3 linked regions of the Rattus norvegicus genome follow. The protein of the gene in region 1 purifies or fractionates together with the protein of each later gene. This does not show direct contact. Links are inferred from orthologs where the notes say so. Each region holds a gene or a part of one and is shown on either strand. Other genes may lie near its edges.

Region 1 (6,320 bases):
TTTATATTAAAGAAGAAGGAAGAGGAGGAGAAGGAGGAGAAGAAACAGTGGCCCCACACTTCCTCTGTGACCTCAGGTTCTTAACAAAGTATACATTGCTGTGACACTGGGACACTGTGGAGAAGTCTCAGACATGCACAGTATGGGCACAAGCCTGTGTGTGCAGGCCATTTACCACAGGCACCTGTAACATCAGACAATGCCATGTGTGCCTCTTCAAGCCCCAGCTTGTGTGAGGCAGGATCTCTTGTCAGCATTGGATATTGCAGGCTGGCCTGCCCCAAGCTTCTGGAGACCCTGCTTCCCATCTTCCCAAAGAGGAGCTGGGGTTACAGGCACATGTCCTCACACCCCAACATTTACATAGGGTCTAGAAATTTGAGCTCGGGTACACTGCGCCATGTCAACAGCCCCCTTGTTTTGGTCTTTAAAATATATTTTAGTCTCTTAAATTGTGTGCATTGAGGCTGGAGAGATGGCTCAGTGAGCAAGAGCCTGTTCTTGCAGAGGATACAGGTTCAATTCCTGGCACCCACAGGCAGCTCACGACCATCTGTAACTCCATTTCTCTGGGGATCATGTGCTCTCTTCTGGCTTCCAAGGGCACTGCATAGACATACATGGTGCACAGGCATGCATGCAGACAAACACTCCTCCATCTCCAGAGTCCTGGGCCTGGGCCTCTACACACAGCATCTTTTTTGTGTTTTGAGATTATGTAATGCTGGGTGTCCTGGACATCGCTCTGTAGACAAGACTGGCTTCAGAGTTAGCAATCCCCCTGCCTCCGACTCCTGAGTGCTTGAATTTTAAGGCACGTGCCACCACATCCAGCCCTGTACTGACTGGGAGAGCCACCTCAGCAGAGGCAGCCACCCTCCTGGGTTTTCCCCTCCCAATAAATCTCCTATGAGGTTTGTTGTGTGCTGTGACTTTGTTGTATTCCTTGGCTCCCAATTGCCAGGATACCTTTTGGAACACAGTGAAACACTTTCTCTGGGGAAACCTCCCCTGCCCAAGCAGAGCGGATCCACTTCTGTGGGGGAAGGCCTTTCCCTTCAGAGCTGCGACACTTACACATCCTCCACTGAGAGTGGGAAGGTAGCACAGGGAGGAAGGAGTGTGTTCCTCTGAGTCTCGATTCTGGCTGTGGATGCTCATCAGTTGGTGGCCTTTGCCTAGCATACAAAAGCTCTGGGTTCTGTGGACAATATCGAATGTACAGTCATCGCACCACCAGGGGCTTTGAGGCAGGAAGATTCCCCAGAGTTCCAAACCAGCCTGGGTTACTATATGAGGCCCTCTTTCAAAACAGGCTAGAGAGATGGCTCAGAGGCAAAGAATTGGCTCCCAGCACTTACAAGAGGGGCTAACAATCATCTGTAACTAGTTCTAGAGGATCTGACCCCTTCTCAGCGATTCCCAGGCTAGCCCGGACCAGTGGGACTTGATCTCAAGATAAAAGAAAGAAGCAGTTATCTTCACAGGCTTCAGGAGTGCCAGGGGTAGCAGTGACTACCATTTGGCAGAATCCCTGCTCTCTACTCATTCAATCGATGAATAGTAAAGATGGCCACGAGTCAAGTGGCAGACGGGGTAACTAGAGCTCAAGGAAGGCAGATGCGCGGTCCCTGTGCCACAGTTTCTACACCCAAGACCTTCTGGAAAGAGCCTCAGTTAGCACCTAATGAACATGCAGCCCAGAAGCCTGGCGGTGAGGATGTCGCAACCCCGCATGCGCATCACTAGGCAGCGGTTGGGGCGGAGCCAAGTTCGCGAGCCCAGGTCCTTTAGGCAGTTGAAGGCCCGCCTCTTCGCGCAGGCGCACGACGAATTCCGCCCTCCCGCTCTGCTCCTAGTGCCCCGGTGCGGTTGGCTACTTTCCGGGAGGGACGCGCGCGCCTGCGCCGGCGTCGGGCTCGCGCACGCGCACCGCAGCGGTGGCGGCGGCGGCGGTTCCTGTCCAGGGGGCTGAGAGCGGCGGTCGGCTTTGAGGCGAGCAGCGTTGCGGAGGGGCGCGGCAGCGGCGGCGGCAACTCAGAGCTCGGAGCCGGAGTCCGGGCTCTGCTTCCAGAGGCCGGCTCGGAGCCCGCCCGGTCCTCAGGGCGGCGGCAGCGGCTGCTCCGGGTTACGGCCTAGGCCTAGGCGAAGCCTCGGGCTCGAGTGCGGTGAGGCGCCGGCGGAAGGCGCGGCCCGGGCGGCAAGATGAGCGTGGAGGCGTACGGCCCCAGCTCTCAGACACTCACCTTCTTGGACACTGAGGAGGCCGAGCTGCTCGGTGCCGACACCCAGGGCTCCGAGTTCGAGTTCACCGACTTCACCCTACCCAGCCAGACGCAGACGCCCCCCGGCGGCCCCGGCGGCGCGGGAGGCCCAGGCGGAGCGGGTGCAGGCGGCGCGGCCGGCCAGCTCGACGCGCAAGTGAGTTGAGCGGCGCATGGCGGCGCCGGAAACCGGGCGGGAGCGGGAGCTGCGGCGCCAGGTCTCAGTTAACCAGCCCTGGGCCCCTGTGAACCTGCGCCAGGTCCGAGTTTGTGCTGGTCCGAGCTACCGGCCCCAGGTCCAGTTAATAAGCCTGGGTGTATGCTTCCTACTCTGGCTCCTTAAACAAAATCCCTATTGACCATCTCTAGTTACCCACCCTAGATTCCTGTTTAACTGCCCAGGTACCTGCCACCTGCCTTGGGTCCTTGTTACCTGTCCTAGATCTCTGCTACCCTACCCTGGTTCCCGTTTACTTACCCCTTTCCCAGATCTCTGCTTCCACCTTCAGCTACCTTTTCCAATACCTCTCCCAGGTCTACCTGCCACAGTCATTGCCATCTGCCTCAGGTCCCTACTACATACCATCTCCTCTAATTCCCTGCCTCTTGTCCTAGCCACCTGCACCTAGTCTCTGCTACCTGTCCTGTTTTCCTCCACCCAGCTAGACTGGGCAGTGACCTGCATTAGTGTCCCTCCTCCTGTATAGCACAGAATCTGCTCCAGCTCAAGGCTTATGCCAGAACTGCCCTCACTCCCCTTCTAGGTGGGTCTAAGGTGACCTACACTAGGTTTCTCTGGCCCTAGTGCTATCCTCTGGACCCACACTGTCCTCCAGGGTCACCTATTTGGCTAGTCCAACCATCCCATCTCACCCTCTTGCCACTTCCATCCACCACGCCTCCAGCCAGGGTTCAAGTTTGGTGGAGGGGCTCTCTGGAGCAAATCTAGGGTTTTGGCGCCTCGGGTGGAAACAGCCCACTTTGTGGCTGGTTAAGGTGGCTGAGAGACAGCTGCTGGTTCGTTTTTTCCTTCTGGGTTGCCTGTTGCTGAGACCAGTGTTATGTAACTCCTAGGCTCTGCTTGGAAAAGTTGGGTTTGAGTTTTGTTCCTTAGAGGCAACCACAATGGGTATCACACGGGTGACTGTGCCCTGGGGAGGGGCTTTTGTTTTGAATGACAGACTGTCGGTGTAGGCTAGGGACAGGCCATCCCTACCTCCCTGTCAAATGGCTGGCTTGGTGTTGGGCACCTCTAGGCTTTGTTTTCCTGTATTCTCCGGGGAGCTGCCGACTAGAGCCACAGGTGTTCTTACAGTCCATGTGTGTGCTTAGGGCTAGGGAGCCACCACCAGTCTCCAGCAGTGATCTCAGACCGAGTTCCGGGAGGGCCTTCGAGCTGGCTGGTTGAGTCATATTTGTGGGTAGACCACCCACTTGGGCTCATTTTCAGCCCTAATAGGAGAAGAAGGCTGAGTCAGCCCCTACTGCGGTGCAGGATCAGGTGTGCCTGCGTGTTGTTTCTAGCTATTTACCTTTAGCGTAAGGAGGTGGAGAGAGGGCAGGTTGCCTGGAGGAGTGAAGTGGCCCAGAAGGCCAGTCCTCCTGTTAGTTTCCCCACTAGGTAGACCTACTTACCTACCTTCCTTCCTTCCTTCCTTCCTTCCTTCCTTCCTTCCTTCCTTCCTTCCTTCCAGCCTTATGGGCCTGGAGAGGGGCACTGTGCAGCAGGCTGTGATGGCACAGCTGGGGAGACCAGGAGTGGAAGTGGGGTGCTTCATCTCAAGGTCTTTTAGCTCTAGCTAATGTACAAAGCAGACTTGTGCTATGCGTGTGCTCACATGGGTGTGCCCTGCTCCGCCAGTTGAAACCATAGATTGAGCCATGAGCTGCCGCCCACCTGTGGCCTCTCATCATAAGGGAGGGAGGGAGGGAGGGAGGGAGGAGGGAAGAGATGGAGGAAGGGAGGAAGGGAGAATGGGAAGGAGGGAGGGAGGGCCTTCAATCCTGTATTAGGAAGACCTGTATCTGTGGGCAGAAAGTGAGCAAAATTGGAAAGTGGAAAAAATCCTTTGCACACCCAGTGTCCTCAGCCACCAAAAACATTGCTTTTCGTTATTTATCCTTGGAGGTGAATGGGTCACACAGGGGATCCTAGGAGGATAGACCCCCTACTCAGTAGGTTGAGCTGCCCCTGTGGGCTGCTGGCAGTTCTCTTCTGGCTTTATTGAAGCAGAATCATGGAACCTGCATATATCCCTGGAAAGCTGACAGGACAGTGGCCTTTTGGGCCACCATCATTAATACCAAGTAATGTCTCAGCATCCTGAGTCCCTGTACCCCCAGCCTCTCTCTTCAGCCACCAAGAATCCTGTGGCCTCTGTGGATGTGAATGTCTCAGGCCCTTCCTTTGCTGGATAGATGGCATAGTATACTTGTCCTGTGTCTCTCATGTTTGTGGTTCATTACTTTGGAGTGCAGACAAACCACAGGGCCCTGTTGTTACTGTCATAACCTGAGTGCCCCTGTGCTGGTATGTGTTGGTGTATTCTTTTTGGGACTGAGTGGCTGCACTGCACTGAGCCGGAAGGTACCTTGGGAGAAGTTTATAGAGGAAGAAGCTTATTCTGGAGTCCTGTGTCCCTCTGCATGTGTGGCTCTGGATACTGACCCTGGGAATTTGACCCTGAAGTCTAGAGGTAGAGGACTGTTGGCTCAATGTTGGAGAACCCCATTTTGTGTGTGAAAGGCCCTACTGTTCATTAGAACACTTGAGGGTCCAGGAAGAGTGTGCTGGCACTGTTTTGCAGAGTCCCTGAGATAAGACAGGCTGGTTTCCCCGATCTTGACTTTCAGATCCCTTTTCCTTAGAGAACCAAGAGGCGACGTGAGTTGTCACTTGAATGCAGGCTTGTGGGAGAGACCCCTGGTCTCAGCTCCTGAGTGCTGCTGTCACCTTTCTTTCTGACAGTGAAGTCGGTGGGAACAGGACCCACTAATGGAGAAGAAGTATCAGGGCTTGACTGTAGACACTATCAGGATAAGAACGACCAAAGAGGGAGCTGGGGCCAGGGTAGGGGGCACCAGATAGGATTGAGTTGCCCTTGTTGGGATGTGATGGGTCTTTGGGGACCTGTGGCATCTCCACTGTCACATGCTTTTTAGCACATAGGCCTTCTGCCATCAGTGAAATAGCAAAAATCAGAATGCTAGAAAACAGATGCCACTGTGTGCCCATACTGGAGACTTAGGATTTAATGGCAACAAGGACTCTGATATGCTCCTGTGCTCCAGTACCTCCTGGTCTGTCTTCTTCACAGGGACCTATCATCCCGTCCAGCCTCACTGTCCACAGGCGGCTCCTTAGCCTCATGGGCCACATCATGCCTGCTACGGTTCAGCCTCCTGTACGGTCCCATTGTGGGTGTGTGGAAACCTGTCCTCTGTTGAAGTGCTGAGGCTCTGAGAGCAGAACTGTGGGTGCATGACTATGACATTTGTCATATTTAGCCCCTTCACCCAGCTCTGTCTTACTAGGAGAGAAGTGAGCAAATCAAGATCTCTCAAGGGCTCTGCCTCTGTGAGCCCTCCTCACTGCTGGGAACAGCTGTTATAAAGTGAGACAGTAGTCACTGTGGCTCTCCTTTGGTGCAGTTCCCTGGGCAGCACATGCACCCATGAGGCCCATTGGCCAGTGGTCACAGGTGAGGCTGACGGCAGCCCCGAGGCCCTCACGATGCTGTGGCTGGGACTGGCGCCACCTCTGTACCCTCAGGTGTTCCCACATGATCTCTTGACAGCCTGTGGCCTGGCTTCTACCCTCACAGCATCTTTTTTTCCTTTCCTGCATGGTGGATTGGTGGAGGAAGGCCTGACCAGCTGCTCATGGTGCCCACTCTGAGACACTGAGAGGAAGGTAGCAGGATGACCTGAGTGCCTGTGGCAGCCTTTGGGGGTCACCAGCCTCGATGAGTTGGGAGAGCGTGGCCTGGATGTGGTTGTGCTGTGGGTACTGTGATCTGTCTTGGACAGAAGGGCCTTGAGCAAGGCTAAGAGGAA
Region 2 (5,881 bases), on another chromosome or scaffold:
GAAAGTGTCTTGATGAGAAGGCAGAAGCAGATCAACTATGGGAAGAACACTATGGCCTATGATCGATACATTAAAGAGGTGCCCAGGTAGTGTCACACAGGCCTGTTCTAACCCTGTTCCACAACATTGTGCCTGTTAAGGAGCTGCTTATATTAGACACATACGCTAGGAAGTGTTTATTACTAACTCATAAGAATTTACATGCAGGGGTTGGGGATTTAGCTCAGTGGTAGAGCGCTTGCTAGGCAAGCGCAAGGCCCTGGGTTTGGTCCCCAGCTCTGGAAAAAAAAAAAAAAGAATTTACGTTCAAACCAAGAATAGATTGGCATCAGAAAGGCTGTGGATGGGGGGCTGGGGATTTAGCTCAGTGGTAGAGCGCTTACCTAGGAAGCACAAGGCCCTGGGTTCGGTCCCCAGCTCCGAAAAAAAGAACCAAAAAAAAAAAAAAAGAAAGGCTGTGGATGTTTTGACATCCTCAGGACTTAGAAAGTGTGTCATTTTATAGAGTATGTAGTTATTAAAATACACAATAGGAAAGTAAACAATTATCTAATTGGAGAGCTGGGCATGGTGGTATTTTAATGATTGTGTGTATGAAGCCTGGTCATGGTGGACATACCTTTAATCCCAGCACTCAGGAGGCAGAGACAGGCAGAGCTCTCAGTTCAAGGACAGCCTCGTCTACAGTGTCAAGACAGCTAAGGCTTCACAGAGAAACCCTGTCTAGAAAAACCAGAGAGAAGGAGAGATTATATATGAGGGTTTTTCCCCTCTGCATGCATGTACAGTATGCCATGTGCATGCCGAGTACCTCTGGAGGCCAGACGAGGGTGTCGGAGCCCCTGGAACTATAATTACAGATGGTTTTGAGCCACTCTGGATTCTGAGAGTCCTTAAGTGAAAAAAAAAAATCATTACCCTGTCTCCCCTTTTTCTCTCTTTTCCAAGGCAGGATTTCTTTGTGCAGCCTTGGCTGTCTTAAAACTCACTTTGTAGACCAGGCTGCCCTCAAACTTAAGAGATCCACCTAACTGCCTCCAGAGTGCTGGGTTAAAGGCATGTGTCAGCTTTATTGTTCTCTTGAACAGACATATAATATGGCTGTGTATATGTGTCTTTTAAGCAGAATTGGGATTAAAACATTTTCTAGAATATGGGGTATTTTTTGTTTTGTTTTGTTTTTTTCTTTTTTTCGGAGCTGGGGACCAAACCCAGGGCCTTGCGCTTGCTAGGCAATCGCTCTACATCTGAGCTAAATCCCCAACCCCTAGAATATGGGTTTTAAAGGAATAGTAAGATTTTAAGAAAGGGTCTTGCTGGGTGTCTTTTATTTACCATTCTGCCCCAGCCTCCCAAGTGCTGAGAGTATAGGTTTGTGCCTGGTTGAGATACTACTTTTAGTGGATTTCTTTGTTCGCCTTATGGACTCTCAGTCATTACTAGGTGTGGTAGTGCATGCTTTTAATCTGGGCAATCAAGAGGCAGACATGGGAGGATCTCTGAATTTGAGACCAGCCTGATCCACATAGCAAGTGCTGAGCTTACATATGGAGACCCTGACTATGAAAAGCTAAAAATAAATAAAAAGAAAAGAGAATATAAGTTATTTGTTAAATGTTGACCTCAAAGTGTGCTAAGGTAATCTTATGTCCTGCAGACACCTGCGACAGCCTGGAATCCATCCCAGGACCCCCAACAAATTTAAGAAGTATAGCCGGCGGTCATGGGACCAGCAGATCAAACTCTGGAAGGTGGCTTTGCATTTTTGGGATCCTCCTGCTGAAGAAGGGTGTGATTTGCAAGAAATGTATGTCTTTGTTTCTTTCTTTATCTCCTGTCACAGTGACAGATTCCCTGGACACTGTTGAGAACAGACACTAGCCTTCAGGCTTGATTTATTATTGCACAGTTGTGGATGCTAGGAAGGAATTTGAGAGTTAGAAAACAGCTCAGTCTAGGACACTCGGCTGTGTGTACATTTCAGAGGAAAACCTTGGGTGTCAGTTCTTTATACCTGTCTGAGGTAGGTTCTTGTGTTCACTGTGTTTGTTACTTTGGGCCAGGTAGCCTTGGGAGCTTTCTTTGACATGCATTCTGGGATTCCAAAATTAGAAGCTTCTGCCTATTTTCCACTGAGCAATATCCCCAGTTCTATTTGAGTGGGTTTTTTTTTTTTTTTTTTTTTTTTGGTTTAGATTTTGGACCTAGGGTTTCTCTGTAGTCCTGACATCCTGGACCTAGAAGTGTAGACCAGGTAGGCCTTGAATGTAGAGTTCCTCCTGCACTCCTGAATACTGGGATTAAAGGTTGCACCACTATCTCCTGTCCTCTTTTTAGTCTGGTTTATACATTTTTTACGTATGGGTGCTTTGCATCTATGCCTGCAAAACAGAAGGCATTGGATCTCATTATAGGTGGCTATAAGCCACCATTCAGTTTTTGGAACTTGAACTCAGAACTTTTGAAAGAGCAGTTAGTGCTCTTAGACACTAAGCCATTTCTTCAGGGCTCATAGACCCCAATTGATTCATGCTAGGCAAACACTGTTCAGACCAAGCCACATCCCTAGCTGTATCTTTTTGGTGTTTTGATCAGGGTCTTAACTCTGTATCACAGGCACACCTTGAAGTTCTGACTTAAAAGGTATTGACACCCTACCATTCCTCTCTTGCTACTACTTTTCAAGAATGTTTACAGGGCCAGGAATTAGGACAGCCAGAGTGTATAGATAGATAAACAAAAAAGGGAGCTGGAGAGATGGCTCAGTGGTTAAAGAGCACTGACTGCTCTTCCAATTCCCCACATGGCAACTCATACCTGTCTAACTCCAGTTCTGGAGGGTCTGTCATTTTCTCACAGACATGTAGCAAAACACCACTTTACATGAAAGGAAGAAAAGAGAAGGAAAGAAAGAAAAGAAAGAAAGGAGAATCGGGAAAAGGATATTTATGGATATATGTGAATAACAGCATAGATTCTCAGACTAGTCCTCCAAGCTGGGTGACCTTTCACCTGGGAGTTGCTGCCAGCTTTCTGTGTTGGGTTGATTGGTCAGGAATGAAATTTGGCAAATGTGAAATGTTCCATGGGAAACAACACTGTTGTGGGTGGTGTTTGGCTTTAGCAAACAACCTTTCTGATTGTAACAGGTGACTGATAAGCTTATTTTATTTCTTAGACAACCTGTAGATCTTGGGGAAATGGAGACAGAATTCACAGAAAGCAGCTCTGAGTCCCAGACAAGTTCACAGGATAACTTTGTAAGTACTTTTAGTCTGTCTCTCAGCTTGGGTGTTTTAAGTCATTTGAGTTATGACTGGGGGTGGTAGAGTATTTTAATACCAGTGTGCGAATGAATTGAAGGCATTCAAAGCAGAGGTGTGCTGATCTTTTAAGTTCCAAGCCAGCATCTCTAACTTCCAGGCCAGCATGGTGTGTGTGGCAAAATCCAGGCCTGCTAGGTTGCTAGGACTACATAAGGGCTTCCCTCATTTCCCAGTATAATCTTTCTCATTGGTTTAGTAGTTAATGACGTCGTACATTTGTTCAAATCTGTTCACATTTATACAGTTTACCTAAAAAGATGCCCTTATATCTGTGAATAAGACCTTGCACTATTGTATATAGGCCAATATTGTATATTTGTATATATATAATACCTAGATTCTGAAGTGGCAAAACATAAAAGACTTCAAACACAAGCAGTTATAAGCTATTCTTTTGCCATATTTGGTCATGGCCATGAACAAAGATGCATTGCCTTATTCTGGCTCCCATCTGTGTCACTCCAGTTGTACTCAGGTTTATTGATCCTTTTCATAGTATACCATGTGGTTGTGACAAGTCAGAAATGAATATGTATATACACTAAAGAAATGTCTTCGTGCTCAGAGTAATAACTAAGGTGAAGCTTGTGCGATGGACTGATGCAGGTGTGACTACCTCTATTTTCCAGGATGTATATGCTGGCACACCCACCAAAGTCAGACATGTGGACTGCCAAGTGGAGGACGAGTTTGATTTGGAAGCTTGTTTAACTGAACCTTTGAAAGACTTCTCTGCCATGAGTTAACTGCCCCCTGGTGGTTACTCTGAGAAATACTTGGCTCTGCCTGGCTGCCTGGAAGGCATGAGTTGCTGTGCATTTGTATTTGTTTTCTCTGTTAAGAATTTATTTTCTCATGATAAATAGTTTTTCTTGCCTTATTTTTATGTATGGTGAATGTGTTACGCATGTTTTAAATTGTAAATGAAGCTGAATCCAGTGAAGACTTAACCCTATTACCTTTCTGCCTCCTAAGTTAGACAACAGGATGCGTGTGGTTTTCTACCAGAACTTGGGACTCCAGCTACCACGTTTCAAATGGGTTGGCCACGGATTTTAACCGTGTGTTTATGGGACCAATTTAGAATTGGCTGCCCTTTAGGTAACTGATGAAGAATTCTCAGTCAGGCAGCTGCAGTGACTTTGTAAAAACTTATTTTCTGGTCTTTTATCAATGTGAATGTAGCTTTCCCTCATACAGAGCTCTGAGCAAAGATGTTAAGCTGTTATATTAATGGGCTTTTATGTAAGTTATATAGTTTTAATTTGGAACTTGAAATAGCATTAGTGTGAGGTAAGTATTTTAGTAAATGCTCTGTGAGTTGATGCAGAAGAGAGGAAGAGAGGGATTTAGAAAGAACTTTGTTTTTTTTTTTTTTTTTTAATGATCAGTTAATTTACCATGTAATATTGCTGTAAATGATGTGTACAGATAACTCTGTTCATGTATTCAATTGTAAACTTGTCAATATTTGCATTTCTATTGCTTTTGTATGGAATGATAATTGCAAAAATAAAGATGCTTTAACTGATTATAACATTGCCCTGTACTGTGTGAAGGGGTCAGGGCAAACTTTTCTTTTGTACCTGAAGCATTTGTTTGGCATAAGGGAATGTTATCTCCCTTTGGTGAGAAAACCATGTACAGACACTGCTGACGTGTTAAGTTCCCATCCATCTGATCTGTAAGGGGTCCTTGATTACAATGCTCTGACAAGCCTCACCATTTTGTGCCTAAGCACAAAGGGCCTTTGTATATTTGACATTTGTTCTCTGCAGGTTCTATGTCAGCCACAGTAGTGACCCTGAAGACTTTATGGTTGGTTTGAGACCATCAGGTTGAGATAAATGAGTAGGGTCAGGTAGGGATTCTGGAGATGCCTGGTAGGTGGCATTATGAGTTACGCCTTGAAAGACAAGCAAGTACAAAGGCCCTGAGGTAGAAGTATAGATAAGCTGACTATGAGCCTGTGTGGAGGCTAGGAGGACCTGAAACAGTGAAAGCTGGAGGAGGAAAGTAGGAAAACCATCCTTGTGCTGGATGTTGCTGTCTCGGGGGGGTGGGGGGGGGCAGTACCTCCTGGCTTCTGCCATGAATAGTGGGGTTATTGATATGCTCAAGGAAGGTCTGAATCCAGAGTGGAATCTGAGTAACTTCCTCTCCTGATGGCAAACAGTGCTAAAATTAAATGAATTCCAGAATACAGATTTTCTGGTAAAGATAAGAATTAAGATTTAGGGGTTGGGGATTTAGCTCAGTGGTAGAGTGCTTGCCTAGGAAGCGCAAGGCCCTGAGTTCGGTCCCCAGCTCTGGAAAAAAAGAACCAAAAAAAAAAAAAGATTTAGGGGGTTGGGGATTTAGCTCAGTGGTAGAGCGCTTGCCTAGCAAGCGCAAGGCCCTGGGTTCGGTCCCCAACTCCGAAAAAAAGAAAAAGAAAAAAAAAAAAAAAGATTTAGGGCTGGAGAGATGGCTCAGTGGTTAAGAGCACTGACTGCTCTTCCAGAGGTTCTGAATTCAATTCCTAGCAACCACATGGTGGCTCACAACCATCTGTA
Region 3 (5,881 bases), about 63 Mb from region 1:
CTCCTCTTCCTCCTCCCCCTCCTCATTCTCCTCTTCTTCCTCCTCTTCCTCTTCCTTTTTTTGCTAAGGAATACCCAGATTGTTAAAATTAACTGAGCAGTGATTCTTTGGCATAAAAAAGTGTTTGCTTATTCATAAAAGATAAGGCCAAATTAAGCGTCGTACAGCTTTACTAACCATCGCTGTCTCGGGTTTCAGCCTCTACCCTCACCTCTACTCCAGAGCGTACATTAATTTTAGGAACCCTGATGACATCCTGCTGTTCAGAGACCGTTTTGATGGATACATCTTCATTGGCAATAAAGGTTAGTGAGTTTCAGTTAACTTCTCAAATAAGGTCATAAACGTTTACTGTTACTGTATCGCGTGCTGTCGAGGCTTATAAACCAAAGAATCCCAGACATTCTGTGTGAGGAGAACAGGAATGCACCATTGCTGGAGAGTGGGTGTTCGCGCGTTCCTTTTCCAAGTTACATTTACGCAGGAATCCAGAGTACTGGCCATGATTGCGGTTTCTTGAAAGTGTTGCAGAGGGGCATATGGTCATGAATAGCAGCCCTGGAGCATGCGGTGCGGTCTCCCCCTCAGGGACTCTGCTCCTGAACTTTCTGCATCTGTTTTTATATTCTTCCTTCCCTGTCCTGTCCAACTGCCCTGTGTTATATTTTCTGCCTTAAGGTTTGTAAACATTCTGTAGGAAGCTCTTTTCTGCCCTCCCCAGACATTCTTTCCCCACCCATCCCCCTCCCAATACTGAACTCCTCCATCTCTCCTCCACAACTTCGCGGTCCCTTCTCCGTTGTGGCGAGCAGAAGGTCAGGTTGTAGTTTCTGTGAGTCTGTGAGTGTCAAGCAGGTTTAGGGCTCAGGCTATTGGGCATTTTAGTTCACTGCTGACTCCTTTATTCAGCTGATCTCTTCATTTTAAATATTAGTAAAATATATGCATCTGAAATCATCTTATCTCCCCCTCCCCTTTTTGAGATAGACTCTTTTAGCTCAGGCTGGCCTTAAAGCCTCAGTGATTAATTCCCCTGCCTCCTGAGTGACTCGTGGTCCTCCTACCTTCTCTCTCTGTGTACGTGTGTGTGTGTGTGTGTGTGTGTGTGTGTGTGTGTGTGTGTGTGTGTGTGTGTACTATGTGCAGGTGTCCTCAGAAGTCATAAGAGGGAATTGGGTTTTCTGGCCCTGGACGTATAGGTTTTGGTGAGCCACCTAATGTGGTTTATGCAAGAACAGCAGTTACTCTCAACCACTGAGTTATCGCTCTAACACAAAACACCTAACATCAAAATAGTTGACTGTAACAAAAAGGCATGACTGAAGGTCCGTTCAGACATCATTTGGAAGTAATAGGGAAGAGTTGTGTTTACGGACCTGTGCATTTCTCCCTTGTCACTGAGCTGTTTTATGCTGTGAGTCCTCTGATGATGGACCACTGCGTGTGGTGAGTGGTGCTGTGAGTCCCCTGATGACGGACCACTGCGTGTGGTGAGTAGTGCTGTGAGTCCCCTGATGATGTCGTGAGAGTTGCTTCTCTTCACCACTTCCTGGAAGCAGGTTGGATCTGAAGCTTTAACCCCACGTAGATAGACGCGGCGTTAGATACTGCTTTCCCAAGGCGAGTAGAGTGGAGTTCACAGTGACCCTTGGAATATCTCTCCTTCCAGGCCTGGAGTACCCTGCAGTGGTGGAGTTTGCTCCATTCCAGAAGATTGCCAAAAAGAAGGTGAAGAAAAAGGATGCCAAGACCGGAAGCATCGAAGACGGTGAGTCCTTTTCAAAAGCTGATTTATAAATCTGTAGATTAACTACACTGACCAAGCATGACCTACCGTTGGAGGGGGGTACCTGATTCATTCATTCGTTCTGTTTTAAACTGCAGACCCAGAGTATAAACAGTTCCTGGAGTCGTACAGCTTGGAGGAAGAAAAGACCAGCGCTAGTCCTGAGACACTGCTGGGAGAGATAGAGGCGAAGACGAGAGAGTTGCTGGGTCAGTTTTGCCTGTGTGTTCATTGAGATGCTTACTGATGGAGTATATGTTTAATTCTCCATTTTTTAACATCACAGGCTGGATGGAAACAGTATTTTCTTCTTTCTACCAAAGAGCAATAGCATGGAGAAATATTTCTGAGCCTTTCTTGATGAAGACTATGCTTCTAGGGCCTTTGTTTAAAATGGCCGTGCTGCCACAGACAAGCGCATGCCCTTAGCTGCTCAGAGAGGAGCTTTTGTCACAGCATTACTGTCTCTGCAGAGCAGCCGCGGGTGAGCCTTGGGAGCCTGTAGAGACAAGACACTTGGCTCATACAGGAAGCTAAGAATCTGAGAAAGCTCTTCTGTCAGTGCGTGAGCCCAGCTAGAGTCTAGCATCTGGTTTGAATCCCCATAGAACTTCTGTTTTAGAAATGTTTGTCTCTTCAGAAAATATGTGTGCAGACATGAGACCCCTTTGGTTTTCACCAGGCACACTTAGTTCAGCCTCAGACCCACCCAAATGTCCCATTTCCTGATGGTCTCAGTATTAAACCTCTCCTCGAGGGTCTGGAGAGATAGTTAAGAGCATTGTTGATCTTCCAAAGGTCCCGGGTTGGATTTCCAGCACACAAATGGTGGCTCACAGCAGTCTATAACCGCAGTCCCAGGGGATCCAGCGCCCTCTTCTGGCCTCTGTGGGTACTGCACATACATGGTAGACACACAAATATGCAGAGTATTCATACACATACAGATTTTAAAAACAGAACCCTTTTTCCCACGACCGAGCACCCTAACATGTCCTGCTCACCTGTCAAGACTTGTATAACACCTCACGTATAATCGGTTTACTGGTTTCCACATGAATTCCCTTCCCGATTTCCTCCCCTACTTGCACAGTGGAACAATATATGCATCTTGTAGTTACAGAAAAGAGATGTTTAAAAGTGAGTGTGTGAATGAAGTGAGTGAATGAAGAGACCGGAGTCTGAAACTCTGTAGGAACAGCATGTAGCTCATGTGACTGCTGAGATGTAAGGAGCCCATGCTGAGCCCTGACACCTGCCACCTCCCAGGGAGAGGCGTGGGCTAATTCACACCCATTATCGCTATGTCCGCGGTGCTGCTGAGTGCCAGAGAGAGGCAGGTCTGGCTGACAGCTCGCTCCCCAGAGAAGCCTGTCGTGTTATGCCGAGCATGTTTTAGAAGTCAAATATTGGCAGAAAGGAGGATAATGACTGGATTAGTGTGGGGGCTGTGGGGGCTCCGGGGCAGAAAGAACGAAAGACCAGGGGGGTTCAGATGGGCAGGCGAGTTAGTTGTGGCTCCACGTATACCTAGAAAAGACAGACAAGGAGACTTCGGGGACAAAACTCGAGATTTGACTCAAACATGTTAAATTTATGAAGGTAGAAAAGGCAGCTTAGGTACTTCAGAAGTCACCTCAAATGTCCCCTTGCCATCAGGGCGTCACTACAGGCTACTTTGAGACGTCCTCTTTGAGGATTGGAACCTAGTTTGTTCCCACGGAGGGCGTCTGTCCTTGGGGCCTCAGCCTGCTGGATCTTGCTCAGAGCTTCATTCCAGATGTGGGCCGTGGAGGCTGCATCTGTAGTTAACTGAGTCTGCCTTTAATCAGAATCTCGGACATGAAGTTCAAGGTTTAAATAAAGTCATAAGCTTGTGTGGACAGGATTTCCGACTGGACCAGCTTAGGATTATCTCTGAGGCTTGGCACTTCATGGCCACGGCAAACACCATCTCCTTGTTGAGCTCTGTAAACTGTTGTAATTAGGAGGGAGGAGAGATAAGGTAGTCTTATTGAACTTTATCTTGGGATCCTTTGTTTTGCAAATCTGATAGCCAATGTGTCTCTTTAAAGTTAATTCATTTCTGCCAGACTGATTACATCCACGACATAGCTCCTGCCATAATGCGTGGGCATTACTGAGCATGCCCACTCTCTGTGAGGCTGAGTACCATGTGTCTCTAGCCAGGTATCCAAGGTCCTCAGTATCACGTGAACTCTCAGGTATGTCCAAGGATTCTTCCCCGCCTGTTCACTATGAGATCTTAAAGGTCCGTAGAGCAGGCCCATCCCCATCTTCTCGCCATGCGCTCACATTTGAAGACTGTGGAGCAGTGTATCTGTTTTGACTGGCCTATCTCATAAAAGTACGTATAGAATTTCCCACTTGTGTTGTTACGTCAGAGCTCAAAATGTTACTTGGGGGCATTTGATTTTGGACTTTTAAATTGGGTTGGCATGTATTAAAGACTGTTTTATCGGTGCTGGAAAGATGGCTCAGCACCGAGAGCACTTGTTTCTGTAGAGGAGAGCAGTTCCCAGCTCCCACACGGTTACTGACTTCAGTTCCAGGGAATCTGACAGCCTCTTCTGACCACCACAGACACCAGGCACAAACATGGTACACATCATACATACAGACAAAACACTCTTACAGATAAAATAAAATTAAATAGATCTTTTTTTAAAAAAAAACCCAACAGTGGAAGAAGAAAAAATTCTGAAAATGTGCATAGCAGGAAAGTAAATTTGTAAACATTACTTCAGAAGTAAAAATAAATTAGTAGCATTTGAGACGCTTCCGATGTCATACATACACATTTTCTGTCAACTGTGTGAGCGATAGTTTATGGCTTTTCTTTTAGTTTCTATGAATGCAAGCTTTATTGTTAATGTACCTTCCATAGACATAAATCCCAACAAGGAGGTTGACAGGTCAGAAACCCGTGACATGTTATCTCTGCTACGGTACCCAGAAGAGAGTGTGGGACTCCTCAAGGCTTCCAAAGCTTCGGGTCCAGGGTCATTTTGAGGGGACTCCTTGGGGTTCTGCCTGGTGGTTCCTCTTGACGTACAGTGGCAGCAGCACATTTTGCAGTTCTCGCAGGCCTTAGACGACCCCTTGAGCATCGTCTCGCGCCTCTTCTTGAAGAACCAGTGCCTAATGCATCCTTTGCCAGTTTGGGTTCCTCGGCCAAGGCCTCAGGAGTCTCCTCGTTAGGGTTGGGGTCTGTCTCGAAGCGCTTTCTTAGCTGCTGTAACTGCTCGCAGGAGAACCGAGAGCTTCTGTCCATGCAAGGAAACCGTGGCGTTGTCGCCACCTCAGTTACTCCAGGACTGCAGCACACTCGGGTCTGCTCTTCAGTTTGAGGCTCTCTTATGACCTTTTCTAAGAAAAAATGTGTGACTTTCTCTTCACTGTTCAGTCGCCTGTGGTTCAGTAAATAACTGCATACCCATTCTCCTCCTACAAACAGCTCTGATTAAACTCATTGGGAAACAATGACAAAGGGGGACTGGAGGAGGAGGAGTTGGGAAGAAAAGGGTCAGCAGGAGAGGGCGGGGTCGTGGGTAGGTCGTAGAGTGTAACTGTGGTCAAAGTACATTTTATATGTATAAGAAATGTCATAGTAGCCCATTATTATGCATAATTGATATATGCTAGTAAGAACTTAGAAGAGTGGTATGTCAGTGGATACAGAGTGGTCAGTACCTACAAATTACTCGAATATGTAACAACAGAATAAGAGTGCTCCCAGGTACAGGGCATACTCACGTACATTTTAGAGATAGTGTTCTTCCCCTAATTATTTTAATGTTAAATTGGAAATAAGTACTTAAAATAAATCTGAACTTACAAGTTATGTGTAATGTATTATAATTTTTGTTCTTTAGCCAGAAGAACCACACCTCTTTTGGAATATATTAAAAACAGAAAATTAGAAAAGCAGGTAGGTGGCGTTTGACCTGGTGAGCGTCTGTGCTGTACCTGCTGCTTCCACACAGGAGCCTTACATTTGTGTCTGACTGTATGTACCTTCAGAGACTCCGGGAAGAAAAACGCGAGGAGCGGAGGAGGAGGGAGCTGGAGAAG

What was found. The genes of interacting proteins can lie anywhere in the genome.
Region 2: the proteins of Upf1 (region 1) and Slbp purify together in Homo sapiens (affinity purification with western blotting; 4 studies listed by BioGRID and IntAct, with this or other methods). This does not show direct contact. The link is inferred for Rattus norvegicus from reciprocal best matches to the Homo sapiens genes UPF1 and SLBP.
Region 3: the proteins of Upf1 (region 1) and Upf3a purify together in Homo sapiens (affinity purification with western blotting; 5 studies listed by BioGRID and IntAct, with this or other methods). This does not show direct contact. The link is inferred for Rattus norvegicus from reciprocal best matches to the Homo sapiens genes UPF1 and UPF3A.

What each region holds. Positions count from the first base shown.
Region 1 is NC_086034.1:19,108,613-19,114,932, forward strand, and holds the start of Upf1 (UPF1, RNA helicase and ATPase), read left to right. Parts: upstream 1-1,925; 5' UTR 1,926-2,205; coding exon 2,206-2,421; intron 2,422-6,320. UniProt on the Homo sapiens protein: RNA-dependent helicase required for nonsense-mediated decay (NMD) of aberrant mRNAs containing premature stop codons and modulates the expression level of normal mRNAs.
Region 2 is NC_086032.1:81,301,589-81,307,469, forward strand, and holds the end of Slbp (histone RNA hairpin-binding protein), read left to right. Parts: coding exon 1-86; intron 87-1,657; coding exon 1,658-1,807; intron 1,808-3,178; coding exon 3,179-3,260; intron 3,261-3,955; coding exon 3,956-4,072; 3' UTR 4,073-4,858; downstream 4,859-5,881. UniProt on the Homo sapiens protein: RNA-binding protein involved in the histone pre-mRNA processing.
Region 3 is NC_086034.1:82,462,965-82,468,845, reverse strand, and holds part of Upf3a (regulator of nonsense transcripts 3A), read left to right. Parts: intron 1-198; coding exon 199-305; intron 306-1,669; coding exon 1,670-1,768; intron 1,769-1,884; coding exon 1,885-1,995; intron 1,996-5,682; coding exon 5,683-5,738; intron 5,739-5,830; coding exon 5,831-5,881. UniProt on the Homo sapiens protein: Involved in nonsense-mediated decay (NMD) of mRNAs containing premature stop codons by associating with the nuclear exon junction complex (EJC) and serving as link between the EJC core and NMD machinery.